Regions from separate parts of the Mus musculus genome. Here regions 1, 2, 3, 4, 6 and 7 are each reported to be linked to region 5. Evidence: microRNA targets listed by miRTarBase, many of them from high-throughput screens and not tested one by one. Region 5 holds a microRNA gene; each other region holds the end of a gene's coding sequence.
Evidence for each region. Region 5 holds the annotated microRNA mmu-miR-344e-3p (GAUAUAACCAAAGCCUGACUAU, at 2,672-2,693, opposite strand). A microRNA usually pairs through its seed, bases 2 to 8, with sites in the 3' UTR of a target mRNA and lowers its output. Matches are read on the target gene's strand: a 7mer-m8 pairs with bases 2 to 8, a 7mer-A1 pairs with bases 2 to 7 and ends in A, and an 8mer does both.

Region 1: the mRNA of Ttc39b is a reported target of mmu-miR-344e-3p. Seed matches in the 3' UTR shown: 7mer-A1 at 2,385-2,391.
Region 2: the mRNA of Dimt1 is a reported target of mmu-miR-344e-3p. Seed matches in the 3' UTR shown: 7mer-A1 at 3,258-3,264, 7mer-A1 at 3,214-3,220, 7mer-A1 at 2,518-2,524 and 7mer-A1 at 2,488-2,494.
Region 3: miRTarBase lists Larp1 as a target of mmu-miR-344e-3p. Seed matches in the 3' UTR shown: 7mer-A1 at 2,861-2,867.
Region 4: the mRNA of Rnf166 is a reported target of mmu-miR-344e-3p. Seed matches in the 3' UTR shown: 7mer-m8 at 805-811.
Region 6: the mRNA of Etfbkmt is a reported target of mmu-miR-344e-3p. Seed matches in the 3' UTR shown: 7mer-A1 at 1,655-1,661.
Region 7: miRTarBase lists Zer1 as a target of mmu-miR-344e-3p. Seed matches in the 3' UTR shown: 7mer-A1 at 1,141-1,147.

The regions. Positions count from the first base shown.
Region 1 is chr4:83,224,707-83,227,706 of GRCm38, reverse strand. It overlaps Ttc39b (tetratricopeptide repeat domain 39B), which reads left to right. Exons shown (of 20, transcript NM_027238.2): 20 at 483-3,000. The coding sequence ends at 573. Among named protein-coding and RNA genes, the nearest start is that of Gm46887, 40 kb to the right of the region's middle.
Region 2 is chr13:106,957,736-106,962,151 of GRCm38, reverse strand. Dimt1 (DIM1 dimethyladenosine transferase 1-like (S. cerevisiae)) reads right to left here. Exons shown (of 12, transcript NM_025447.4): 12 at 1,928-3,497. The coding sequence ends at 3,455. It overlaps Kif2a (kinesin family member 2A), which reads left to right. Exons shown (of 21, transcript NM_001374727.1): 21 at 1-3,156. The coding sequence ends at 13. Among named protein-coding and RNA genes, the nearest start is that of Dimt1, 13 kb to the right of the region's middle.
Region 3 is chr11:58,057,465-58,061,880 of GRCm38, reverse strand. Larp1 (La ribonucleoprotein domain family, member 1) reads right to left here. Exons shown (of 19, transcript NM_028451.1): 19 at 1-3,322. The coding sequence ends at 3,116. Among named protein-coding and RNA genes, the nearest start is that of Gm51897, 32 kb to the right of the region's middle.
Region 4 is chr8:122,464,394-122,467,393 of GRCm38, reverse strand. It overlaps Rnf166 (ring finger protein 166), which reads left to right. Exons shown (of 6, transcript NM_001033142.3): 6 at 160-1,249. The coding sequence ends at 225. Among named protein-coding and RNA genes, the nearest start is that of Snai3, 5.2 kb to the right of the region's middle.
Region 5 is chr7:61,732,868-61,737,283 of GRCm38, forward strand. It overlaps Mir344e (microRNA 344e), which reads right to left and starts at 2,735; the gene lies at 2,670-2,735. The region is part of intron 6 of A230057D06Rik (RIKEN cDNA A230057D06 gene); the gene reads right to left.
Region 6 is chr6:149,149,442-149,153,857 of GRCm38, forward strand. Etfbkmt (electron transfer flavoprotein beta subunit lysine methyltransferase) reads left to right here. Exons shown (of 5, transcript NM_001252095.1): 5 at 901-1,730. The coding sequence ends at 1,244. Among named protein-coding and RNA genes, the nearest start is that of Etfbkmt, 10 kb to the left of the region's middle.
Region 7 is chr2:30,095,368-30,099,783 of GRCm38, reverse strand. Zer1 (zyg-11 related, cell cycle regulator) reads left to right here. Exons shown (of 16, transcript NM_001290503.1): 16 at 941-2,501. The coding sequence ends at 998. Among named protein-coding and RNA genes, the nearest start is that of Zdhhc12, 3.9 kb to the right of the region's middle.

The sequences.
Region 1 (3,000 bases), not on the chromosome of region 5:
TGAAAACTTACATGAGAACTGGAGTAAGTGGTTTTGGGGTCACGGGGAAATCCTGGTGTCTTTGTTGTGGGGTAACCGTGTGGGTTTCAAGGTATTTTTATTCTGTTGAATAGTGGATTGTTCATGATCATTGTGTTATATGACCCTGCCTTAATGTTTTCCTCTTTAAATATGGAAGTTGAGCCATGTAGCAGTATTTAGCCAATGTGCCATGCCTTCTTGACCATGCTATAGTTGTGGTCTGGCAATTAGAATGATTTACTCAACGGTATAACCTCTTAAATCATCACTGGGGAAGCCTCAGGAAAGCAAGAATGCAGACTCACTGTTCACTTTGCCCCACAGAAAGACGCTGCTCTTTACTCTGCTCCAGTAGAACATGTTAGAGTCAGATGTAAGGGGTCAGAGGGAGGCAGAGGAAGGGGGCGGCACCCCCCTAGAGAGGGTAAGTTCTGACTGTACAATTTTATCCTTGTCTTCAGAAATAACTATAAGGATTACTCCCTGGAGTCCAGGCTACACTTCAGAATTCAAGCAGCTCTTCATCTCTGGAAGAAACCTTCCACGGACTGATCCGGAACACACAGGATGGATCTTCCCCCCCGGTTAACATTGACTCTTGCTATGGAGATCACTCTCTGTGTCAAGGTGGACCCATGATCCATCAAATAAGAAACAGAAAGCCTGCTGTCAGCCACTTCCTGTCATCGGAGTGGCGTACTGTTTGGTCTACATACTTTCCCCTCTGGAATGACATTTAATACTATACAGAAATTCTTATACTCTGCCTTCACTGTAGATTTCAATTGAGGGGGTGAAGTCTTTTAAAAGACTGGCAGGTACAATAAAGCCTAGTTAGATTATTTATTTTTTTAATGTAAAAATTAATATTGTTCAAATAGCAAATGGCTTTATCAGCTGAGCCATTTTTAGATTGGCTTGTCCTTTAAACTTCAGAGATATTTTACTGCTGTTTAAATCTCTGAGAGTAAATAAATATCACATCTATAATAGTATGACAGTGGGTTTCTGAAGATTCTGGAAGAGAGAAATGAGGGGCCTGAGGTGGGTGAAGTATTCCTAGGCAGAAGGGACTTGTATCTCAGCAAGATGTCACAGTTGTAAGTTTCAGGATTTCCAGTCCTCTCATTGGTTGAAGGTGGTGGCATTTTTCAGAAACTATCCTGTATTTGAATGTACTCATATCAGATCCAATAATAGCATTCAATCACATAGACACATTTCTCATGTATCTAAGGGAATAAAAAGCTGTATTTTAGATCTCCCTAAGCTTAGTGCTGAAGCCTGAACTACAGACTTCCATTGTGTTTCTTACAGGAAGGAGAAGCTCCTGTTGCTGTGAGTGATATGTGACATGTCAGTGATTGTTTACAGTCATGATGCTGCTGACCCAGGGCCATGGCTGCATCTTGGTTCTCTGAGTAGGAACCCGGATCAGAGCCTGAGCAGATGCCCTTCTGGGGTCCCCACACCTGTCAATCACCCTTTGTGAATTAGAAAGAACACGCTCATTTCGAGAAACAGAAAAGGCACAGATGGCTTTAATTTCTCTTTGAATTGTGTAACTGTGAGTCTCTGTGTTAGACACTTTCAACAATGCTTAGCATTAATCCAAACTCTTCCCATTAGAATATAGTTTCTTCAACCCCTCGCTCTCCTCCCAATCAACGGCCTATCAATAGTGGGTGTTACAGCTGAGGGCCAGACTCCACCCAGTGACAAAAACCAGTTAGAGTCCATGGACCTGGGCTTTTGTCTTGTTTCTATTATTTCCAAGACCAGTAACTTCTCTAGAGGGTAGATGGCTCCACCTTCCCTCGTCAGCGCCCCAGGTTTGTAGTTCTGAGTCTTTCTCTGTTGGTTAATAGTTAACAACATAAAGCAAATAACTTACCTTTTCCAGGACTTGGGTTTTCCAGTGGGAGAGGCAAGGTAGCACTCACTGCCTGCAGCCTCCAGAGCTGGTGCATTTGGTAGCTTTCTGTATACTGGGGAAGCTGTACACGGAGGAGTGAGTTTGATAACTATGGCCTTGCACATGGATTACAATACCTCTAGTATCCGCTGAGTCTGTGGTCTCTTGTCTACAGTGAGATGAACGTGAGCATTCATGACCTTTCAGTTTATTTATTTATGCATTTAGCACTGACAGTGGCCCAGATTATGGAGTTGCTCCTGCTGTCCCCGACTGCAGTTCCCCATGCTCAGCAGGCACTGGTGGCCTGTTACGTAAGGTGCCATTTCTTATTCAACATTGATAACACGGAGGCAGAAATCATTATATCTCACTAATATGAATCACACAATTAGCTACAGATAGTAGGGAAATAAATTGTCATGAGCTATAGAAATATGTTTAATAATTATATATATATATATGAAGAAAAGTTTATAAATTCTTTAGAAGAGCTTTGATAACGATATTTTAAAAACAATCTATTCATACTATTAATGTGATGGGGTGTGGTGGCACACATTGTTAATTCTAGCATTTGGGAGGCAGGGGCAGGCAAATCTCTGAGTTCGAGGCCAGCCTGGTCTGTTTATTCAAAACTCAAACCAACCAAACAAAAAGAATACCCATATTTTGTGAGAAACTATCAAAGCTCATGGTCTGTAAATTCCCATTCTGATATTAAATGAAAAAAATTAAGCTAAAAATGACTGTTTTAGAGACTGGAGGGTGTCCCGGCAGTTAAGGGCACTTTCTGCTTTTCCATAGGACCAGAGTTTGTTTCCCAGCACCCATGGCAGGCAGTCCTTAACTGTCTGTAACTCCAGAAGAGCTGACACTCGCTCTGGCCTCTGTAGGCACCCAAACACACATGGCATGCATTCACATAGAAACATACATACATACACATTAAGTAGACAATAAATCATTTTTTAAATGACTACTTTTATACTATCAAACAAATCTACTTGTGCTATTTTATTTTGTGGTTTTCTTTTGTTTATATTGCTCAAATTCTCTCTGTC
Region 2 (4,416 bases), not on the chromosome of region 5:
CCGAGCCCTCTAAGTTGGCGTTTGCTACTAAAGGATCCCCAGAATCCCCAATACTGTAACAACGGTGGTCCGACTGTAAAGGCCACTTGAACGTTTTTGAAATCTTTTTTTTTTTTTTTTTAACGTTTTTTGAAATCTTAAGTGTGTGGAAAATATCTTGTCCTTCATCTGAATGACATTTCAATTTTGTGAAACACTCCTTTGTCGACAAAATGCTTCTAGACCAAGAGGCACAACTAATAATTCGGACTAGTGAAGTATTTTGTTTCATTTGCCCAAATAAATAGTGATTGCTTTTGGATATCCTTGCCAATTTTATTTAAAGATTGTGGAAGTGATCCAGAAGTGGAAGATAGGGGAAGCCACAGAATTTCCTTTAACGCAGATCAATTTTCATAGCAAGACTGAGCAATTTTGAACCCTTTGCGTGCATGCATACCTCATGAGTGATTGTACATACTTTGCCTACTCCTAGAGACACTCGTGCTTACTCATCCTTCTGTGCCTTGGCTAAGGCTATTGACCCTAGATTTCTAAAACAGCCGAGATTAATTACATTCCTTGTTTGTGACTGTAAATTACCTTTACTGTGTGTACATTTTTACTGTATTTGAGACATTTTTTTGTGTGTGACTAGTTAATTTTGCAGGATGTGCCATATCAATTGAACGGAACTAAAGTCTGTGACAGTGGACATAGCTGCTGGACCATTCCATCTTATGTGTAAAGAAATCTGGAATTATGTGATTATAATTTTCTTAGCATTTTCTTTGTAAAAAAAAACCTAAAATATGAATTAGTTGGTGTATAGTAAAAAGTAAAGAAATTCTGAGAGGAGTTTTATTTTAGGATAATACATATATACATATGCAGTGTGTGTGCCAGTGGTGTTAACAAGACTAATAGTGGAATTTGGTCCTTAACAATGCCATTATTTAAGTTGAAGTGTTTATTAACTCACCAAAATTTAATGTACTGTTAAAGGAAACTGGCTTCTGATGCATGAACATTTGTATGTACACTGAAAGTAATCCCTAATACAAGTTAGATAAACCAAGCATAGACAGTATGTACCCCTGAGAAGTGTTGATGACTTATGAGGCAGGTTATTCCAAGCTCCATCTAAACCTAGTATGTGATGGTTTTTGAGAATCATATTTCGCCTGTAGATTGATGGCAAAATAGGCTACTCTATTAATGGCAGCACTCATTTTTAGCTGCTAATCTAAGAAAGAAAACTGGCCAATTTTCATGTAAATATTGTTTAAAGATATATATATGTATATCTCTAGGAGTTTTCCCTTGGTTCCCACTATCTAGTCCAGTAGGTTAACCAAAGAACCTCCCATGGATCTCTTAACTCTAGGGAGCCTACTGATGACTCAGTGTACCGAGGGGAAATCCATGAAGAGTCATGAGCCAGGTTCTTTACTTCACTGGTCATAAATGATGAGAGTAGCTCTGAGGAATCCGAACACCATGGTGAAAACTCTGTAAACATGAAATCTAAATCAAATGTAGATTTTTTCACAATATGCTTATTAATAAATGAAATTTATGAAACGAATTTAGAAATAATGTACTTCAATATAATTAGCTTTGTTTTGGAAGGAACTCAGGTTTTCTTGGAGTTTTATGCTATATTCTATTTGTGTTTGTTTCAAAGACGGGAGGAAGAATGAAGGACTATTTCTATTGACCTTGCAGCAGCTGTTTAAAGAAGGTAATTTTTGCTGGGTATAGTGGTGCATGCCCTTAGTTGCATCCAGCACATGGAAGCAGAGGCAGGTAGATAGATTTCTGAGTTCTGGACCAGCCTGGTATACATACTAAGTTCTAGGACAGCCAGAGCTATGTACAAAGACCTTGCCTCCAGTTCTGAGAATGTCTCATATATAGTGGGCAATAAAGACACAAACTTGCTCATAACTTACCTAACAGTTGAGCTTTAATGTTACTGGCATTGGACAGGTATTATCTTTGAAGGTCTTTATAGATACATGTTTCCTTATTGGCTTCGTCCTGATCTGTAGTCAGAGTACATCAATAAATATCTTGGTAGGTAAAATATGATTCAGCTTTACGGAGGGAAAGCTTTAGTTGGAAGAAAATAAGCTGAGAAAGCCTAGTCTAGCAGAATTGTTTCCCTAAGGTAGAGAATGGTACAAGTGAACTGTGCAAAGTTGTTCTGACAATAAACAAACTTTAAGAACAGTTCTGATCAATATGACAAAAGCTGCTTTTGCAGCTAAGCAAATGTTTTTGTTCTAGATTAAATATTCTTTAGAAATGTCTCAAACTTAAAGGCTGCTAACTATTCATAGCTACTATAATAAGTGTTTACTATATGACTTAGAAACTGGATTTTGAAGGAAAAACTGTAGGCGAGCAATTTATATTAAGTTTACTTAGCATTCTTTTTCTCAAGTAATTGGAGATATTCCTTTTAAGTTTTAAGTATAAATAGAGAAGCTAGTTTAGTTTCCTTATATAAATAAAACAGCTAATTTATTAAAATATATAAACAGCATTTATCTTTTATCTGACAATTTTTAAATAGCTTAAAAAGAAACACCAGGTAGTAGAATTTTAATTATCTAGAAGTCAGGAATAACCAGGAACCTGTAGTTTTAGTCTGTTCTTTTAAAAAGCTGAAAACTAAAACTGGAAAACTTACTTTGCACAAGTATAACCCCAGAATTTATTTAGGAGGCTGAGGCAAGAGTCTGAGATTAAAGTCAACCTCCAAAAGACCCTCTCATTCAAGAAAGGAAATGAATCATAAATTAATGAGACCACCTATTTGATTGACAAAACCCTCCAGAGTTTTTCTAAATCTGAAAATTGTAGATCTTGTCTCCCTTAAGGAAATATGTGATTTAACATGAGTTTTTACTTTCTAAGCTTCTGCATTTTACAGGTAGTCTTATGCAGAACTTGCCTGTACTGTCATTGCAGCAGACTCAGCTCCCAGAATTATGATGTTGTTTGTGTTGCAAGAGGCAAATAATAACACGTAGGGTGAAGGTGTGTGAAGAAAAGTCACATTGGGGGCTTTCTGACTAGTTGAGTGAGCTGTAGGCCTACGTGAACCTCACAGTCTAAAATAGTGAATAAAAGTAACGTCTTCATACAATAAATTGTTAGAAAGCTTAAGTGTATGTTGTGTGTGTCTGTGGCTTTCAAACTTAAAGACCATTATTTTTATATTTATATATAAAACACTAGGTCTACTACAAAGGGCAGGGTATTATTTATATATAATATAATACACATACATACATACATATATATATATACCCAACCACCTTTCACATACAGGATAATAAATGGTAAAAAAGTATTATTAAATAATTTAAATGATGTCCTGTAGAACAAAATTGGTTGTATTCTCAAATAGTAGGATTGTATAATTTCATTTTTTCTTGGTCTTGAAAAAATAGTTTTCAAATGGCTAGGAGAAGTGGATGCCTTCTGCATTGAATCCATGTAGCAACCTGAAGAGGAGACCAAGAAGGAATGGTGTTAAACTATAAACCCAACTTCTGACACATAATGTGCCTATTACCATTAATCCTAATACATAAACATGCCAACATACTGAAGACACAGTGCAAGCACTAGTCACTACACCTTAGTAAAAACCATGGCACGTTTGTCTTCTGTTGAAATCTACTGTTTAAGTTGGCACTGACTGAAATGACCTTAAAGACTTGCTGTCTCTGGCCTAAGCTCAACAGCACTTTCAGCATGGTCAGCTGAAAAAGAAATTGAGGCAAGGTGAGATGAGTAACTGGTCTCTGCCTGCTCTCGGGGCTGTTACCGAAGTTTAGTGAAATACACTGTACTTCTTTGTACTTATCTGACTTTTGTTAAACTGCACGCTGAGGAAGTGTGAAGTTTTTGAAATGATGTATTTGTAGCTGAGCTTATTTTTTAGGATGGCCTCTATATAGGGAGAGGTCCCTGTGGACTAACAGTCTGGAAAAGCAAAGGTGTTCACCTAGGAGGATTAACATCCAGACTCAGTCCTCCCGCTAGGAGCCAGTAACAGTGACTCTTGTTCTAGACAATTTAGTCTCTGGATACAAGTGGGGACACATCCTAGAAGTAGAATACCTGTCTAGCTCTGCAAGGACCTGAGTGCAGCCCCCAGCACTGTAAGAAAACAGTTAACAGAATGTCCAATAACTCCTGAAAGTTAATGTCAGTGAGTTAGTACAATTGGGTAATTAACTGAAACTTGCTTAAAACAAAATAAAAATGTCCACATTGCAGACATCGCTGTGGTGCCCTTTAACTTAACAGGCCACATAACTGCTATTGAATGAGTGATCAGGTGATGTGGTTCTGACTGACACTTCCTGCTTCTCTGTTTAACAGTAGGGGTTCTAAGTAAGGAAAAAATGGGTCATC
Region 3 (4,416 bases), not on the chromosome of region 5:
TATAATACAAGCTCATTCAAGTATTTTACATTTTTCTTGTCCTGTTGATGTGATATCCTAGCACATGGTAAAGACAATATATGAGCGTAGGTGGAACCTTCTCTGCAAAGCCCATGAGAGTTTTCCTTTCCTGTGAGAACTGGGCTCAAAGTTTTCTTCTGCCTCTGCCGTAACCATGGCTGGAGGAGAGGGTGGGAGCTGGGGAAAACCTAGGGGCCCTGTGACAAGAGACTCTGGGGTCCCATCCAGGGGACAGGGGAACCCAAGCCTCTAGCACTCCCCACCATTAGCCTTGTCCTCAATGCCCTTTCCCTCATGTCCAGACCTTCCAAGCAGCTTGCCTTCTTTTGTAAATGTCATCAAAAAGGAGTGGGAAGGAGCTACAGAACAAAAACATTGAACAACTTGACCCGGGGCTCAGCACCTGTCTGAACCTGCGGTCCAGGCTGGAGCAGGGCCAGGCAGCCTTCCCTCCGAGTAGCAAATCTGCTCTGAGGCTCACAGGTTTGCAAACCACCATCTGCCCCTTGCTGGGGCCAGGTGGATGTCTAACCCTGCACAGGCAGAGGATGAAGGCGGTTCCATTTGGCAGGCTGTCTGTCTTAGGTCTTGGATTCCATGGGAAGATGGTGATGGGGAAGTGGCTTGCTCTGGTGCCCCACCCCCACTCCTGGCATACTTGTCACAGATACATCGGTCCTAAATTCAAGTGTCTTCAGAAGGTGAAGATGTAAACTACTCCGCAACATCAACTCTTAACATGTCACAAAAAATACACACACACACACACACACACACACACACACACACACTCCCACCCCTCCTCAGCCTGTGTTGAGATGATAGCCTTGCCTTCCCACCCCAGAGGGGCTTCTTCCCTCAGAGGGTCTGGGAGGATCTGGGAGAGAATGGCAACCCTAGTCTGGATAGCCTAGATGGAAACCACCTTCCCTGATGCTGGGCCTCAAGCCCTGAGGTTCTGTGGTGCTGGATATACAGTAGAGGGCTGAGTGAGGAGAGGAGAGGAGAAAGGGAAGCAGGGAGCCCACTGTTTGGTGAAGGTGCACCATAGGGCAGGTACCAGACTTAGGAGAAGGCCTCAGATCCCAGCAGCAGATGATCCTGTTCCCTTATTTGTTTGCGACAAGTGAGTCACAGGAGCTGACAAGGGATTCCCACATCCTAAGCACCGGGAGGACAGAGTGGGGCAAGGCATGAGCTCAAAGTAACAAGGTGCCCAAAGACAGAAGGCAAGCTCTTGTCAGCCTGGGATGCTGTGTCCCAGTCCCAACTTTTGGGACAATAGAGGAACTGGGCGATGAGGAGGGTCACACAAATTTCAGTTAAGCTAGCAAAAAGACCACACCCCCTTGTGCCACCTAGGTCCAAGTGTAGGGTTAGCATGAAGTCTCCCAGCCTGTGTGCTCAGTCCTTCATTACCCTCCTCAGCTCCTGGTGACAGCAGCCTCCAGCCACTCCTCTGGCATCTCAAGTGCAGCTCAGGCAGTCTGGCTTTTGAAGAGAAGTCAGGTATACTCTATGTCCACATATACCTTCCTGCCATGGGGCTTCACCAAACGGTAGGATTCCCCAGCCCTTGGTTCCTCTCACCCCCTTGATCCCAGGCAGGGCCAATGAGAGGGTGGGCAGAGATGGCTTGCAGGGGGTGGTGGTAATAAGATGGAAAGACAACACCAGACCCTTAGAGAATGGTACCTTTTCTCCACCTCCTTGAGGTCAAAGGTCGTTAAGGTTAGACACAGACCTAAGCTGTGGACATCAGTGGGTGTTCAACCCCTTGTTCTGGAGTTGGGGAGATGTGCACACTGAGGACAAGTGTGTACCAGGCAAGACCAATTATGTTTACAACAGTCTGAAGCAAACTTGGCCTTGGGGTTTCCCAGGGCTTGGCTGGGCGGGGCGGGGCGGAGCAGAGCTGAGTGGGCCTGGAGAGGCGACAGCAAGCACAACAAGGACAGTGGCAACAGTGTGCAGACACAGGACATTGGCTTCAGACAATGCAACAGCAGGGGTGTCCTGGGCACAGCTCTGATAGAACTGCCCCAACTCTTGCCTCCAGGTAGGAGGCCCCGTACATGCAACTCAGTCTCGAGGAAAGTTCTAGTCAGTCCAAGTCCAGGGACATCCCGGGCAGGTGGAGCTCTTCCGGAGGCTCAAGGAAAACAGGCATTTGGGCATTAGTTCAGGTTCCCGCTCCACAATAAGGCAACTTTTAAAAAAATATTATTTCCAAAAACAGAACAGAAGAAAAATTCCAAGGAGGGGGAAAGACATCACTTTCTATGGAGTAGGTGGGCTCTGGTTTTTTGTCTTTTTTTTTTTTTTAAAGTGGTCGATTTTGTCTTTTTTTTTTCTTTCTTCTTTCTTTCTTTTTTATTTTCGTTTTTGTTTTTTTTTTGTTTTTTTGTTTTGTTTTTCTGTTTTCCCAAGGATGGAAAGGTCAGAGAAAAAATAAAATGAATCATCTTTCAATAGTCTCTTCTGGTGTGAGCAGCGTCTCTGGGGTGGGGCGAGGGGGCGAGGGGAGAGGCTGAAGCTCCCACCCCCACTGAGATCCTTTGGTTTCCTTCCCCCAGAGGTGGCAGAAGGGCATGTGGAACAGCAGGGACACGGTGATGGCAAACCCCAGGTGATCAAGGGGCTGGTGCTTCTGGGGCCCATGGGCACCGCCAGAGCCTTCTGGTGGGCTGCATAGTTGGCTTGAGGGAAGCGGGAAGAGGCAGGGGAGACAGGTCGGCATAATAGCCGCAGGAAGGGCTAAAGAGTGATTTTGGTAATCCAGACAAACTATCAATAATTTAAAACTTGATATATATATATGTATATATATATATATATATATATAAAATCTCCCCCCTTCCCCTCCCCCCTTAGAAGTTATGATGGAAGTCATGGTGACAGGAGGGATGGGGTACTTGGAGGCTCCTGCCCAGGAGCACCGCTAATAGCCCAAATGGTATACACTGCTACTTAGCGCAAAGGCCCATTCTTAGTACTCTAGGTCTGTCCCTTCTCTTGTTCGCTCTTCTGGGCACCCCACAGATCCTCAACCACCCCACCCCTCTATCACAAACCCCAGGGGGCTTCAGGCCATTCACTTTCGCAAAGTCAGTGTGTCCGAGTGCTGGCTTGTCCATTTGGCATCTTCTCGAGTGGCCTGGCCAGTAGGTGTCGTAGGGGGTTGGCTGATCCCAGTGGCAGGCCTGCTGGAAGACTGGGAAGGGCACCGCTTCCTGCCCTCTCCGCTGCCTCCTGCTACCACTGGGTGTCGCTTGTGGTTGCCTTCCTCGCCCATGGGGGGCTGTAACAGAGGAGTCACAAGTGGTCAGAGAACACTAGCCACACCACTTTCCAGAACCAATCAGGTCTCCGTTCCATCTCCAAATGAGGACAATGGTTTGATTTACATCCTGTCCTTTCATGTGGACAGTACCAGAAATAAGGAAACGGACCAAACACATAATTTGTCAAAGGCTTCCTATATTTAGGTCCATATCCTTAAAGACCAGAGTTTGACCCTATAAATTTTTGTCCCCTTCTACAAAGGGTCTCTTAGGAAAAGACCTGTGGTGTGTGGAATGCTACATGGTGCATGTATTGGCTCCACAGGGAACTGTCTTATTCCAGCCTTCACCAGGCCCGTGAGCCAACAATGAAGACTGTGATTCAGCTTGCCCTACTATCACCAAATGCCACCCAAACTATTTTCCAGGTACTAAGTTCCAGCCATTGGTCCTTAGCACACATCTCCTCCCCAGAGTAGTTAAGAACAAGCCCAGTTTACAGGTATGTAAACTGATGACACTCTTACCTACAAGAGTGTGCTCACAGTCTGGGCACCAGGAAGGGTCAGTTCTACAATAACTTAGGACGACCGCTGATCCTTACCTAAACCTATCACTTTTCTGTTACATGTTCTCAAGAGAACAGCCTGAGTATCAGAGTCTGCTCATTACAAACTTTTTGGTTAAAAGCCTTTCTGCCTTCTTTGGTGCTGGTCATTAAAACCAGGGCCTTCAATGGGTTATACATGTATCTTACCATTGAGGTAAACCCCCAATACCACAGACTTCTTGAAGGAAAATCTCACTTGAAGTACTTTGCACAGACACAAAGATGAGTCAATGAAGCCGCCTTTAGAGGCAGCCGTTGACACACGCACAGCACTATTCAGACTCACCACAGGGTGTCACTGTTTAGGCACTGCTCTCGACAACGGAGGACTGAAAATTAATTTACAAATTTCTTTTCCCAGAAGGAACAAGTATATTTATCAGAGTAGCTGGTCCTGATCCTGACACAAACTAGTAGTAGTGGGCCTGGATAAGCAGGTAGGCTGTGACAATAGGAGGGAGGCTGGGAACAACTCTAGTGAGCACCTGCTGCTGTCCACTG
Region 4 (3,000 bases), not on the chromosome of region 5:
ACCTGCAGAGCACTGGTATGCACACGATCCAAGGCTACCTTTGGGGACACATGTAAGAACTGGGGCAGGCATTCTGTGAAGGAGGCTTGGGACACACTGTGACAGTGGGTGTTTGGGAGCCATCCTGCTCCTCCCTCATGCATCTCTGCTTTTCCCCAGGACTACAGCATCGACGAAGAAGCTGCCTTCCAGGCTGCCCTGGCTCTGTCCCTCTCTGAGAACTGAGGCACAGCCTGGCCACCCGCCTCTTATGGGGCAGAAGACACACTCCCGCTTTAAGGGATAGGGCTGTTGCCCTTCTGCCCTGGCACCTGCACAGGAGTGCGCCTCACCAGGCCAAGTGGAATGTTACACAAGGAGAGTTGGTCTCAGAATCCCCAGGCTGGGATCCTGGCTAGCTGGCCCCTTGTCATCAAGCAGGACCACCAGGTCCTGGCCAGCAGCACTGGGCCCTCGGTGCTTCAAGGGGCAAGTGCTGGCCATTGGGTCAGAGCAGGTGGCTGCCTTTCCCAGACTTGGTGTCTGTGTGTGGAGAAGGATGAGGTGCCCTAAGCTGTGCCCAGCAGGGCCAGGGGAAGAGGTGCCCAGCCAAGGCTGCCAGCCCACCCGGTCGGTCCCTAGCTTCGCTTCCACCGTGAGCATTTGGTACTGGCTTTTGTGATATTTAGGAACCCTGCGTTTTTCTATCTTATCCTGTGTGATAATCTTTTCATGTTTTCTAGAGCAAAGACAAAGCAGTTACTCTTCTATCGCAATACCCAGGTTTGACTAGGAAGAGCAGTATTTTTATGGAGCATTTACAAAGTTATATTTTTAAAAAAAAAAATCAAAAACATGTGGGATGAGTGTAGAGGGAGGAGCGTGGGTGTGGCCAGGGCTTTGTCTGTGTGACAGGTGGCGTCCCCAAGCCATGTGATCTCTGAGGAGGTGGCTCCTGTCTGGTGCTTTCTCTTGATGACCCAGAAGAAACCCTAGCACCGGCGGGCCACTTGCTGTGGCTGCTCCCAGCAGATGTAGGACAGCCCAGACAGAATGGAGTCCTTCTGCCCTGCCCTGTCACCTTCCAGAGCCAACCGCATCCCTCCTCAGGCAGGGACTTCCCTTACCAGTGGTAGAGCCCTCAAGGGCCAGAGAGACCTGCTTGGTGGCAGGTCAGGCAAGAAAACATTTGTCAGCATCTTATTCTGTTCATGGCATAAATTGCTGTCTTTTCAAAAGAGTTTTAAATAAAGTGTTTCCAAGCACCCACGCGAGCCTTGGTCCTGGGTTTTACTGCACCAGTGTCTGTAGGTCAGGGCTGCCAGGGTCCACAGCTCCACCTTGTCTCAGGTGCTTTCTCCCTGGTGACTCTACTGCCACGTGCCCTTGGTGACCTTTTCCCTGGGCTCTGGGTAGCCTGCCGTGCTGGGGACATTGGTACTAGTTGCTTCTCCCCATCTCTGGCTCCAGTTTCTCACTCTTCAGGCTGAATCCTGGATCTTATGAGGTGGGCCAGCTGCCGTGACTCCCCCAGGGCCCACCTCCTGGACACAGGGCCGTCGTCTAGCTCACTGAGGGTTCTAATAATCGAAGAGAGCTGGGCATGGCGGTTAAGCAGGGGATACCGCACTCAGGAGGCTGAGGCTGTATTGCTCCGAGTTCAAGGCCAGCCTGTGCTACATGGCCAGCTCCAGGAGGTCAGCAAGGACTGCACATAAGACCTCAGAACACAATAAAAAGCTCAAGAGACCCTCAGCAGCCAGGTTCACGAGAGCAGATGTACAGGCATGTCTGCCCAGAGGGACTCCTTACTGTCCCACTTTGTTCATAGGTGGCGCCCATGAACAGGCAGGTCTCTGTTGTTCCACTTAACACTTATGTGGGGTTGGGGGCCCTTGCGGGCAATGTCAGGTTCCAGACCAGCAGTGCCACAGCAAGACCACCCTCTTCTACTAGTTATTGTCATTGAGTGTCAACTACATCTGAGAGGCCTCAGAGCAGGGCTAGCTTGTGCTCGTCCCTGGCTGCCAGCTAAGCCTACCACTTGTTGGGCAGTCACTCACTGTCCTGAGCTAAAGTGGTGCTCATACAGGCCCAGGACTGACCACAGTGACACAGGCATGGCACTCAGAGGGCACGATCCCTGGGTGACCAGGAAACTCAGTCCCAGCTCCAAGCCAGTCCCAGCAGGCCCTGACCTCGGGAGCAGCCCTGACCTCAGCAACAGCCCTGCACGTGGCTTGTTTCCTGAGTTCTCTGTGCTGCATCTGTGGAGGCCACGGGGTAAGCCCAGTCTCTGAGGATCCTCAAAACTGCAGGGTCTGCAAACCCGTGGGGGTTGGGGAAAGCGAAGAAGGAATGGAAGATGGGGAAGCCGTTAGTCCACTGTGGTCACACTGCACATCTAATCAAGAGGCACAGGGCAGCCTGCTCTCCTGGCTGTGCTCTGCTTCCTAGACAGCACAGGCAGTAATAGATCTGCGAACTCACCAGTTAAGTGTGGACTCATTAGCCCTTGTACACTGGGTATCTGGCCTCATCCCTCAAGAGGCCTGGGGAAGGGGGAGAGTATAGCTGTCTTTGGTCCTTTGTTGGAGATTCTTTTCCCACCCTTTATTTCCCCCACCCTGCCCTAGTTTCACCCCCTAACACTAGACAGAAGAGAAACAAGGATAGAGGGAAAAGAGATACCTGAATCTGATTTCTTTCCTTTTGTTTCTTCTTTGAGCACAACTACTAACAAACTTCAACCAACCATCAACTCTGCCTCTTTCAGGCCCTAGCATTTATAGACCCAGAATTCACACAGTTGCAGAAACTCTCTGCAGCTGGCAAAACCACACATCTGTCAGAGCACGAGGCAGATCACAATCAGCTGCTGTGGGCAGCCTGAAGCCGCCCCACATCGCACACCTGGGATTAAAACAAAAGCACATTCAGACGATATTTCTGTGTTTATTTTAAAAGAAATCAAAAGCCCACAGCTGCCACTACAGGAGAGGAAGAGCCACACCCTGCTGC
Region 5 (4,416 bases):
TGGAGCTCCTGGGGAATGGACCACCATCCAAAAATACACATTGGGAAACCCATGGCGCTGGCCACATATTTGGCAGAGGATGGCCTTGTTGGGCATCAGTGGAAGGAGAGGCCCTTGGGACTGAGGGTGTCTGACTCCCCAGCATAGGGTAATTTTAGGACAGGAAGAGAGTAGTGGGTGGAGATGTGGGGGAGTACACTCATAGTGGCAGGACAAGGAGGGAGTGGGATAGGGTGTTTCTGTTTGGGAGACATGGAAAGAGAAAAATATTTGAAATGAAAATAAAGAAAATATTCAATAAAAAGAAAAAAGAAAAAATAGAAAAGTGCAGTGTCCCATGAATCTGAAAAAATATTAAATGCAACTCAGTGTGAAAACAATGTTTATATCCTGTGTTTATTCACATCAAAACGTTGCATATGTGGACCTTTCAATGTGTGACTTTTTGCTAAATTTTTTCAAATTTTATTGGATAATTTCTTTATTTATATTTCAAAAGTTATACTGTTTCCCCATTTCCTCCCCAGAAAAACCTATCCAATACTCCCTCACACTGCTTCTATTTGGCTGTTTCCCCCAACCACCCAGCCAAACTGTCACAAGCTGAAGATTGAATGCTATATCATCTTTGCAGAAGGCACAGCCCTGCATGACCGAGGCAAGAAATGGACAGTAGAAGCAGATTCCTGAATTTCACATGTGGAGACTGTCCCTGTATAGGAACTAAAAGCCAACGAATCAGAGCATGGTGGCTCTGAAACAAACTAGCACTTTGCTTGGAGCTGTCTACTGGCTCCATCTCCAGTCAGTTACTGAAACACTCTTCCTTGTCTTTACTACCATACAGTCGGGCTTTGATTATACCCAGGACCAGATGAGTCCTGAAATATAGCCAGAAGCCTGACTGATCAAATCCTTCCCAGTGGACATATTTATTTGCTCTCCTTGCTTCTGATTGATGGAGAATGGAATAGGATCCAATCAGGAGATAGAGCTCATATTTAGGCATTGACATCAAAGCCTGCAGTTACCTTGGAGATCTCCATCAGTACTGCTTATTGATACCTCAACCCCCTCCACCCTAGTTTCCCAGAAGGAAATTGATAAATTGAAAGTGAAGGGCAGAAAAAAAAACCTGCTTTACCTTCTTTTCTCTGCACTGACTTACAGAAAAAGAAGTCAGTAGAATCTTGGGGGATGGTCCTATTTCTGGCTCCTTCTGCCTAGCTTTAAGCTATTAGCCAGAAATGTGCTGTTTCTTTTTTAGCCCACTTATTGTAACATTAATCTTCTGTATTTTGCTGCCTGCTGAACAATTGTGATGTGCATTTTTCAACTTATCCAATTTATCTGTTACATGCTCTGTGTATGAACTTTCCTTGAAAATATAATATGTATCCACAAAGAGGTGTTTGTCTATTTAGTTTAATATTCAGCTCATGCCTAGCTCTACCTGTATTCGGGTGGTATTAAAAGCTGCAGTTTTCCATAAATCTGAAAAATAATAAATGCTACTGAGTGTTGAAACAATGCTTACATGGTATGAATATTCACATCAAAATATGGTATATGTGGAATATTTAATGTGTGGATTGTTTTCTATATTTCTATACTGGATATTTTCTTATTTAAATTTAAAATTGTATGCCCATTCCACAATTCCCTCCCAGAGAAACCTGTCCAATCTCCCCTCCCACTGGTGCTATGAGGATGTTCTCCACACACACAATCCCACTACCCCACCCTGGCTTTCACCTACATTGGGGCATTTAGCCTTATGAGAGACAAGCCCCTCTACTCTGATTGAAGCCTGACTCAGAATTCTTCTGCTACTTATGAGGCTGGAGACATGGTTCTCTCCTTGTGTACTCTTTGGTTGGTGGTTTAATTCCTGGGACCTCTATGGGGGCTATGTATAGTTGATAATGTTGTTCTTCCTATAGGGTTGCAAATCCCATTCAGTTCCTTAATGTTTGGTTTTAAAGAGGTCATGGCATTTTCTGATGCATATAGAGCTGTAAATTTATTTCTACCTTCAGGAATGTATTAATAAAATAAAACAGTTCAAAATTATACAGATTTTATGACAGAGACCTGATTTCAAAAAAAAAAATAGAATGAAAATATCATGAAATCTTAGGACAACCTGAGAGAAAAGCATTTAGAAAATCTAGTAAACAACAACAAAAGTATCACCATAAACAATGGTTGCAATGTTGAATGCCTTTGGCTATTAATGGTAACATGCTACCAGCATCACTGTCATAACACTGCTTGGATTGTGGGTATGGTAGTTTCTCTGCCTGTTAATCACATCTAATTTTTCTTATACTCAAATCTGGTATGTTGAGCACCTCTGCTGCCATCGTGGTACTCACAGTGGCTGATCTAAAAACATGAAAATGCCAAAATTGTTCTGTAGTCTGTGTCACAAGCTGAAGATTGAATGTTGTATCTTCATTACAGAAGGCACAGCCCTGCATGACCGAGGCAAGAAATGGACAGCAGATGCCTGAATTTCACATGTGGAGGCATTCCCTGTACAGGAACTAGGAGCCAAAGAATCAGAGAATGGAGGCTCTGAAACAAAAAAAAGCAGTTTGCTTGGAGCTGTCCACTGGCTCCATCTCTTGTCAGTTACAGAAGCACTCTTCCTTGTCTTTAGCACCATATAGTCAGGCTTTGGTTATATCCAGGACCAGGTAAGTCCTGGAATATAGCCAGAAGCCTGACTGATCAAATCCTTCCCTGCAGACCAATTTATTTGGTCTCCTGGCTTCTGATTGATGGAGAATGTGCATTCAAATAGAGAATGGAATGAGATCCAATCAGAAGAGAGATCTCATATCTAGGCATGGACAGCAGAGCCTGCAGTAACCTTGGATATCTACATCAGTGCTGGTGATTCATAACTCATACACTCCTCCCTGCCTTCCCAGAAGAAATGAGAATAATTGAAAGTGAAGTGCAGAAAAAAACTGTTTTACCCTCTCTTCTCTTCACTGACCTACAGAAAAATACCTCACTGAACACTTTGGGGTGGTCCTATTTCTGCCTTATTGATTATCTTTAAGCTATTTTACAGGGATGCTCTGTTAGCTTTTGAGCCCACTCACCGTATTTCTTGACATTTTTGCTGCCTACTGGGCAATTGTATTGTGCCTTTGTCTCCTTTTCCAATTTAACAATTGTATGCTCTGTATATACTCTTTACTTGAAAAAATATTATTTATTCTTGCATCTAGAAAGAATTGTTTTAATACCAAGGTTAATATTCTGCCCATTCCCTAGTCCATGATTACTCAGTTTCAATGAAAAGCTGCAGTGGTCCATAAATCTGAAATATAATAAATGCAACTCAGTGTTGTAAACAATGTTTGTGTGCTATATTATTCACATCAAATATGGTGGATGGAAAATATTTGAAGTGTGGTATTGTTTTCCATTTTTTTGGATATTTTATATTTACATTTCAGATGTTACACCCTTTACCAGAGTCCTCCACAGGAACCCCCTGGGAAATCTTATATAAGTATGTTACTTTACCCAATTACACACAAAATACTGGCACCCTGCCCTGGTATTCTCCTAGAATGGGTCATAAAGCTTTCTCAGGACTAAGGGCCTCTCCAGTGATTGATGCCTGGCAATGCTTTCCTCTGCTACCTATGAGCATGGAGACCTAGGTCCCTCTTTTTGAACTCTTTTTGATGGTTTTGTCCCTGGGACTTCTGGGAGAGTGAGTCTAAATAATTGATATTGTTCTTCTTGCTATAGGGTTGCAGACCACTTTCAATTCCTTAATGTGTGGTTTTAAAGAGGCCATAGCATTTTCTGATGCATATAAAGCTGTAATCTTATTTCTACCTTCAGGAATGTATTAATCAAATAAAACAATTCAAAATTATCCAGGTTTTATGACAGGGCCTGATCTCTAAAGATAGAATGAAAATATGAAGGAATCTTAGGACTTCAGGTATCCACAAGTACAAGCTCACAAAGAAAATTCATGTTTCTATTTCTTCCTTTACCTTGTGTAATACCTAGGTAGAGGTGATCAGGTAATCATTTATTGATTTCCTTAAATGGCTCATGACTCTCCAGAGCTGTAAGGTTGCAAAGGACTGACCTAGGAAAAAAAGCATGTACAAAATCTAGTAAACAATAATAAAAATATCACAATAAACAATGGTTGTAATGTTAGATGTCTTTGCCCATTAATGGTAACATGCTACCAGCATCACTGACCCAAGAGTGCTTGGGTTCTGGGTATGGTTATTTCTGTGTCTGTCAGTTACATCTGATTTTTCTTATAGTCCAAGGGAGTATGTTGAAGACATATGCTGCCATATAGGTTCTCACGGTGGCTTATCTAAGAATATAAAAGGGTCAAAATTACCTCCTCTGTGTCACAAG
Region 6 (4,416 bases), not on the chromosome of region 5:
CTTCCTAATTCCACCTTTGGGGTTATAGGCATGTGCCACCATGTCCAGCCTCTTTGTTTTGTTGTTTGTTTGAGGAAGGTTTTAGGCTGAAGACACAGCTGGCTTGGTACCTCCCTTTGTATCCCAGGTTGGCTCATACTTGCAGGAATCTTCCTGCCGTATATTACCAAGCCTTGGAGTGACAGGTGTTTACCATCATGCCTAGCCAGTATGTAATTTATACTGGCATAAATTTTAAACTTCTTTGCCTAAAAAATAACAGGAGCTGGAGAGATTGCTTAGTGGTTAAGAGCACTGGCTGCTCGTCCATAGGACCCAGGTTCAGTTCTCAGGACTCACATGGCAGCTCACAATTCTCTGTAGCTACAGTTCCAGGGGATCCAATACACTCACATAGACATGAATCCAGACAAAACACATATGAAATAAAATTGAAAACAACAAAAACAAGAAAAAAAATCCGTTTTAACAAAAGGTAAGTATTAGATTATTTTTACATTTATTAGTTCATTTGTGAGTGTACACCACATGGGGAGATCAGGGTCATTGTGTGGGATTTGGTTCCTTCTTTCCACCATGTGTGTCACATATATTGAACTTTGTTTGTTGAAACAGGGTCTTTCTATGTAGTCCTGGCTGTCCTAGAACTCCCTATAAAGACCAGGCTGGCCTTAAAATCACAGAGATCTGCTTGTCTCATCTGAGACCGGGGATTTAAGTTGTGTGCCATCATTCCTGGCCTTCAGATGTTGAACTCTTTAGGTTTAGCAGCAAGCATCTTAACCTGCAGAGCCTTCTCATTGGCCCCTAATGTTAGATTTTTAAAAGTGTTTAAATAATAAGGAATTAAAACAGCCTACTGATACATGCTTACAGACCAATTCATCATGTTTTCTAAAGTTGCAGGAATGGCGATTACACTAAATTGCAAATTAAATGGACTGAATCCTTTTCCTGTTTTAACTAAAAACATTTTGAATACCCAACAAGGTAAGTTTGATCTCATTGTTCTTGGAGATATGTTTTATGATGAAGACCTTGCAGACAGTCTTCATCTGTGGCTGCAGAACTACTTTTGGACCCATGGAACCCGAGTACTGATTGGTGACCCTGGGAGGCCCCAGTTCAGTGGACATAGCATTCGGCATCAACTGTACCAACTAGTAGAATACACACTTCCAGAGCCAACTCAGCAAGAGAACAATGGACTGACCACAAGTGCTGTATGGGATTTTCATCCCTGATTTGTTAAAGTGCTTTCAAGTATGAATATAGTTCTGTTTGTGTTAAGTTCTAAAAATATCCTCTGTAGGAGGTATTCAACAGTTTAAAGAATGCAATTCAGTGGCTTGTGGTGGATTGGGCCTTGAATACTACCACTTGGGAGGCTGAAGTAGGCGCATCTCTGTGACTTTGAGGACAGCTTGGTCTATAGTGAGTTCAAGGACAGCCAGAGCTATATAGTAAGACCCTGTTCCAAAAATAGATAGATAGATAATAAAGTAAATTTCTTCATTCCTTTGCTGTGACACCTTGAATAACTGTATGGTTTATTAAAGTTAGTTATGGTTATGTTCCCATTTCACATACCAAGGTGTCAGGATTTTATAACAAAGCACTCTATCATATACAATTGCATATGTAGAAGGTATATTTATATATGTATGTATGTATGGATGTAATATATATAATTTGCTTCAGTATTAATAAAATATCTCTGGAAAGATAAATAAGGAACTCAAGTGTTATCTTTCTGATACTATATCAAAATAACTGAGGAAATCAGCTTAAAAGAGAAGTGATCTAGCTCCGTTTCAGAGGCTCCAATCCATGGTCTGCTGGTTCCATTGCTTTGTGTTGAGGTGGGGTGAGATATTAAGGCAACCACAGTATGCAGCAGAAATGGCTTCTCACATTATGGTGACCAGGAAGCAGAGAGCAAGGGACCAGGGATAAGGGTGGGTTCACTGGTCCCAAGGAACAAGACCAGGGAAGTTGCCATGGGGAAGAGAATGAGAGAAAGAGTGTACAAGCAGGGAGAGAAAATGCAGGAGAGAGGGAGGGAGAGAGAGGGAGACCAAAATATCTGGGTTATATAGGGAAGATCTTCTATGGGTGGGGAAGCCCAGCACGTCAGCTGGACAGTTCATGACAGAGGGCTGGGTATGCCAATTGTGTGCCCTGTAACAGGTGGGAGAACCTGGAGGTCAGGTTCACTTTGTTATGTAAAATATGCATTTCAGCCACTTGGTTCCAGGTCTGAATCCCAACACTTAAGATCCACTTATGAACACGAATTCACTGGGGATGGACTAGGCTTTCAACACAAATCTTGGCAGTGAGGAGGTATTACAGATTAAAGCTATAACTGGTTATGTAGAGGAATTTTAGTTCAACAATATGGCTGCTCTGGCAAGGGATCACATCCAAAGGCTTTCTAAGTTTATGTGATTCAGCTGGAATACAGGTACTCCCTAGATCACAGTAGTTGTGGTGTGGCTGGAATGCAGTCATTTCTTTAGTGCATACCTTTAGTCCCAAACAATGAAAAGTAAGGTTAGGGGCTGGCGAGATGGCTCAACTGTTCTTCCAAGGTCCTGAGTTCAAATCCCAGCAACCACACGGTGGCTCACAACCACCCGTAATGAGATCTGACACCCTCTTCTGGTGTCTGAAGACAGCTACAACGTACTTATGTATAATAATAAATAAATCTTTTTTTAAAAAAAAGAAAGAAAAGTAAGGTTAGTTTATAGATGGAATCAGTCATGTTTGAAAGTGATAGCTAGTTGAGGGGCAGAGAAAGTGACTAATCAAAGATTTGACCGAATGAGTCAGAGAGTAGGATATGCCCAACTCTCAAGACAACAGAGAGGAAGCAGTTTTATAGAGAGATGTTTTAGGAAGATAGAATAAGCCAGAGGATAAGGAGCCAGAAGATTAGAATAAAATGCTAGTTAGTTTAAGGCTAAGCAGAGCAATTCAGTGAGAAGCTGAAATAAGCCAAATTGAGTAAGAGACTGGAGAAGAGTTTGAGCCAGAACAGCTGAGTTGAACCATCCAGCTAGAGTTCAGAAAAAAGCTAGAGAGAGTATTGTGGTAAATCTCCAACTATGCCCCGGTAATGAAAATAACTCAATTTATATTGAATACATGCTGTGTGCCTAGATTGGGCAGATCTACCGCTACACTACCATCTTCCACATCTATGAGACCCCTTAGGACTTGCAGTTTCTCCAGGTCATGTGCTTCTGCTCAGTTTCTCTTCTTCCTACTCCTCTGTTCCTCTCCCTATTCCATTTTTCCTTTTTCCCTCTCCCCACCTTCCTCTCCACCTTCCCTTTTATCTGTTCAATCATCAGCTCTCCTTTATTTTATAAATTAAGGTGTGAAGTTTACAGGAAATCACCTGAGTGTTGACCCATTCCTCGTTTGCAACCACTCACATGAAAATGGATTTAACATCAAATATAATTAGGCCCAGGGCTACCTACAATAAGAGGGTGAGTTCATTCAGCAGTAAGCCTCCAAAATAATTTTTATCAGGCAAATTAAAGATACTTCTATGGGCTTAAAAAAAAATAAAAAAATAAAAAAACCAAAGTTTCTCTATTCCTTCTGAGGCAACCAAATGGTCTATTCACTGGGTTAAGAAATGGTTTTTATCTCAGGAGGCAGAGGCAGGTAGATTTCTGAGTTCAAGGCCATCCTGGTCTACAAAGTGAGTTCCAGGACAGCCAGGGCTATATAGAGAAACCCTGTCTCGAAAAAACAAACAAACAACCAACCCCCAAAAAAAGGTTCTTAATTATTTTGGAAATTTTGGATTTGTACTTACATATGTTATACTTCCTATTATCTGATTTAAAAGTTGAGCACTGCCACTTTGCATGTTATAAATACCAAATTTAGTCTTTCCAAGGTACCCTCATAGTCTTATACATTGCTTTGGAATTGTCTTGGATGCTTGAATTACATATTTTCTAACAATAAACACCAGGATACTATGATGATAAGATTAGATTTAAAAGGCAGAGAGGTAGCAAAATTAAAAACAAACAAAAAGAACTACGGTAACTATATAGGAATTTGGGGGCTAGGGATGCAGAATATTGTTTTAGAAGGTTTTTACTGTTTTGTGTCCATCTATGTGTCCGTGGCCTTGAACTCATATTCCAGCCTCTACCAAAAGTGCTGGATCCTGATTTGTGCAATACTAGGGACTGAACCCTGATCTTTGTATAAACTAGGCAAACTATCAACTGATAAAGTGCACTGGGATCTTGGAAGTTCTGTACTTGTGATTCTGGACTTTTGGAAGTCAGAGAATTTTAATTACCCAGTGAGTCGACTGCTGCTACTCAAAATTTTCATTAGTATCTACGTGGGGGGGGGGGCTTAGAAATGTAAACTTGG
Region 7 (4,416 bases), not on the chromosome of region 5:
GTGTGCACTAGAATGTACACTACATTAGAATCAGTGGGATTGCATTGCCTTCCTCGTGCCTGGATCCATGCTCTCTGGGAGGTTATTCCTTTGTCACAAATCTGAGCACGGGATAGCCTGAGCCTCAGAAACACCCCCACCCCCCATCCCCACGCCTTTCTGTTGTGGAGACCCCAGCCAGCACCCTGCCATTCAGTCTTTCTGGTGAAGAGACTGGTTCAGTTTGAACTGACTGGTCCTCGAACTCAGTGTCCCTTGGGAGTCCCCTGGAAAGTGTTAGAACTGAACAGCTGCCTGCAGATTTTTTACCAGTGGGCTTGGGGCTATCTATGTTAGACAAGATCCAGGACTTTTCTGTGGGGCTTGTCAGCGAGCCCTCTTGGTCCCCTGAGGCCTGCAGTGTGTGAGCCAGCAGGTATCTGCTTCAAGGAATGAACTATCCTGGGAATTTCCTTCTCAAAAGCCCTCAGTGCAGCCTGTCAGCAAATGGAGGCTGCAATAAACCCCAAAACCCTGAGTCTCCCAGTTGAACAGGCAAGCAGTGTAAGGGTGAACTGCAGTGGGTGGCAGTGTTCTCGGGGAGTAGGCTGAGCTGGCACACTGAGGGCCTGTGCATATCTTCAGTCTGTTTGGGGGGCCCCTGTGGGCCTCTGAGCAGAGGAAGAGCTGCTGGCTGGCAGAGCAGATGCTGAAGAGGGCAGCAGTGGGTTTGGGAGGTTAGGCATGGCTGCTGGTAGGACTTCCTCCTTTTCCTAAGTTGAGGGCAGTGGCAGCATTCATGGCCACAGGTACTACTTCCCAGGTGTGCTGCCAATCACTGGCAACACCATTCAAGACTACGTCAGGGTCACTCTTAAAGCTTGGTAAGTAAGTAGCTGTGGGGCTCCAGGAGAGCCGCTCTCCTTAGCCACCCTCCAATGCTCTCCCCGGTTTTATCCAGCAAGGTGATTGAGCACTGCAGTAACTTTAGAGAGGAGAACATGGACACGTCCAGATAGAGGCCACACAGCTCGGACCACAGGCCGGGAGGAAGCGCTGGAGGTCTAGTGGGCAGGTCCCTTTGCGGAGCCTCCTACAGGGTGAAGAAACAGCGAGGACTTGCACAGCCGACGCATTTCCTTAATGTTAGTGAGATATATATTATATATATATATATATATATATATATATATATTTTTTTTTTTTTTGGTTAGGAAGTGTGAAGTTTTGTGTGTATGACTTCTCCCGAGTCTTTGCAGCTCCTTGCCACTCTTGGTCCGCCTCCAAGCTTTGGTTGCTGCCATGTTCCCTCCTGCCCCAGCCAGGCTTGCCTCTAATGCTGTGAGTGCCTGGCCCCTTCCCAGTGAGCTGACCCTGGCCTGGCTTCTGTCTGTTGTGGGAGGAGCTGGCCCTTAGCAGGCTACTCAACATCCCTGATCCCTGCCTGAGTGCCCTGCCCAGGTTCCCAGGTGAGTGAGGCTGGCAAGCTTTAGGATTAAGTCCAGCCCTACTGGGTTTCCCAGAAGCCTTGGTGCTCCAGGCTGTGAGCCATCTGGGGCCAAAAGAGTAAGCTGTTCCCAGGCCTTAGGCCAAGCAGATCCTGTCCAGAGGACCCTGGAGAAGCAGGGCTCTGTTGGCCCACTGCTCTCTGGCCAGGCCTGTCTGTGGCCATGCTGCTATGGAGGAAGGCTGCCTCAAGTCTCCCTCAGGCCCCTAGGTTTTTGAAGGCTGCAGCCCAGAGAGGGTCAGAACTCAGGGGCAATTACACTGCCCCTTCTGCCAAACATGCCCCAAACCGCCTCAGCTCTGGCAGCTGGCACCTTCCGGGACCAGGGTCTTTCCTTGTTCTGTAGCCCTTATCTGCCCACAGCACCCCAGTGCCCAGGTACTCCCACCAGCAGCAGAGCTGAGCCCACCCGCTGTCCAGAAGATACTACAGCTCCCTCCAAGGCAGGAGGTCCCCACTCCAGCCTCACAGTGGCAGCAGGAAGCCACCTCCAGACCAGCACTTGGACAGTCCTCTGTCCCTCCAGCCCAGTCAGGTTGTCCCTGAGAAGCTGCTGCGCTGTGTGACAGGCAGTAACAGCAAGCTCTCTGGATATCTCCTGCACCCTGTCCTTGTATCTCAGCATTGCTTTTCATTGTTGTAGCTACTGAGGAGACCCATGCACATAAGCAGGCTTTAGGGAGCAAAGCTGGCCCTGGAAGCAGCCTCTGGTGTGGCTTTTTCTGCCCTCTTTCTTCTCTGTGCCCGTTTTTCCGGGCTTGCCTGCCTACAGTCAGAAGGGGCCTGGCTGCTCCCAGAACTCAGGGAGAGGCGACTGATCTTCCCAGAGGAAACTCTCCCTGCCAGGTTGCTTCGCCCATGCAGCACTTGGGCAGCCTCAGCCCATCCTTTCCATCCCACGTCCTCTGGCCCTGCAGGCCCTGAGCAGAACTCGCATCCCATTGCTTTCCTACCTGGGTCTGGGGAAATGTCTGTACTTCAGGATGTCACAGAAATACATTTTGTGCAAAGTGCAGGAGAGTGGTGTCTTTTCTTTCCGGAGGAGACTGGGGGATACTGGGCTGAGGTACACGGTCAGAGGTCAGGGAAGGAGCTAGGGGTCTCCTGGAGTGTGGGTAATTTTACTGTGGGTTTATGTGCCTACAATCAGGAGACAGGTGGCAGACTGAGGTTATGTGTCTATGACATTCTCTCCACATCTCTGTGCCCAGACACTGGGGTCATAGCTGTCCACCAGACTGGCAGAGCCCCTGGGAGACAACATAGTCTGCTGGGAGAGACACAAAATAAATATAAACTCGCCATTCTGCAGCAAAGAGGAGAAGGGCTCCTGCTGGCATGGTGAAGTGGCTCTGGTCTGACGGGTGCCAGATAGTATCATAGAGGGGAACAAGTAGGGGGGTGGGAGTCCTCTACGAAAGGCTGAGCTGAACCCAGCAGAAAGGGGGAGCCTCTGAGGGATGGCATCTCAGACAGGGCATTGCCATGGCGAGCACAGAGACAGTCCCACTGAGATGCAGGGAACATGCAGGTTCAGGTGGGAGGGCAGAGCTCACAGCTGCTCACACACCTGCCATGTGTTCTCAGACCACACAGAGGGTGAGCAGGAGTGCCAGGATCAGATTAAACAGTTCTGGGAGCTGGCATGCTGTCTGCATCCTTCCTGGTAGAACAGGGGTCCCCTCTTCGCCCCAGCAGAGCCCACAACAGTGCCTTCTACCATTGGCAGCCCACAGGGCTGAGGCAGAAAAGCTGTCTGTCACATGTGGGTGTTTGCCTTGAACTTGAGGGCCATGTGAGTCTGGGAGGGAGCTGGATGTGCATGCCTAATGTGTACACATGTATGGGGCTTCCCCTTGTCCACGACACATTCTCAGCCCACAGATGGGTACATGCACTCAAGAGGTGATGTGCCTTCTCACCTCAGGTTGCCATAGCAAAGGAGGGGGCACAGGGTCCCCCCGGATGCACAGTGTGCTCCTAGCCCAGGTGCCTGCTCTTGCCAGTGTCTAGAACACTGCTTCCTGCTCACTCCATCCCACTACCTGGCCACTTGTTGATGCTGAGGCTATGGCACCTGCCACTCCATGGCTGTGAACAGCCCATCAGGGCTTTGCTAAGGGTCAGCACACAGCACAGAACCCTGGGTTTCCAGGGCTCTTTATAAATTCATTTTAGTTGTTTTGTGTGTGTACACTACTTGTGTACAGTGCCCATGGTGGCCAGAAGAGGGCAGCAGGTCACAACTATATGGTCTGAGTGCTGAGACCCAAACTTCTCTGGAAGAGTGGCAAGCATGAACCTCTCCTGGCTGCCCATCCAGGGATCTTTCTTACTGGCTGTGCCACAAGGAGCCCTACCACTAAGACTGAGTTCCACTCCCAGGACCCATATATTGAGAGAGAAGAGACCACCCACCCAAAAAAGTACAAATAAATACACTGATTTTTTTGTTTTTTGTTTTTATTGAGACAGGGTTTCTTGGTGTATGTAGCCTTAGCCATCCTGGAACTTGCTTTGTAGACCAGGCTGGCTTCAAACTCCACCTGCCTCTCGGCCTCAGAGTGCTGGGATTAAAAGCACCACCATGGGAAAACCAAAACAAAAACACCCCACTGGCTAGGGAGATGCCCTGGTGGTTAGGAGCACTTGTATATCCCACCCACATACACACACACCCACACACACACTCCCAATGAGGGTTTCTCTGTGTATTCCTGCTGTCTTGGAACTACACAAGTAGTTCTGTAGACTACACTGGCTGGTCTCAAACTCCAAAGATCCACTTACCTGCCTCTGCCTCACCAGCCAGCTGCCCCACCCCAAAATAAGACCTTTCTCTCTATGTAGCTCTGGCTGCCCTGAAACTATGAAAACTAGGCTACCTCTGCCTTTGAGTACAGAGATTAAGGCGTGCACCACCATGCCCC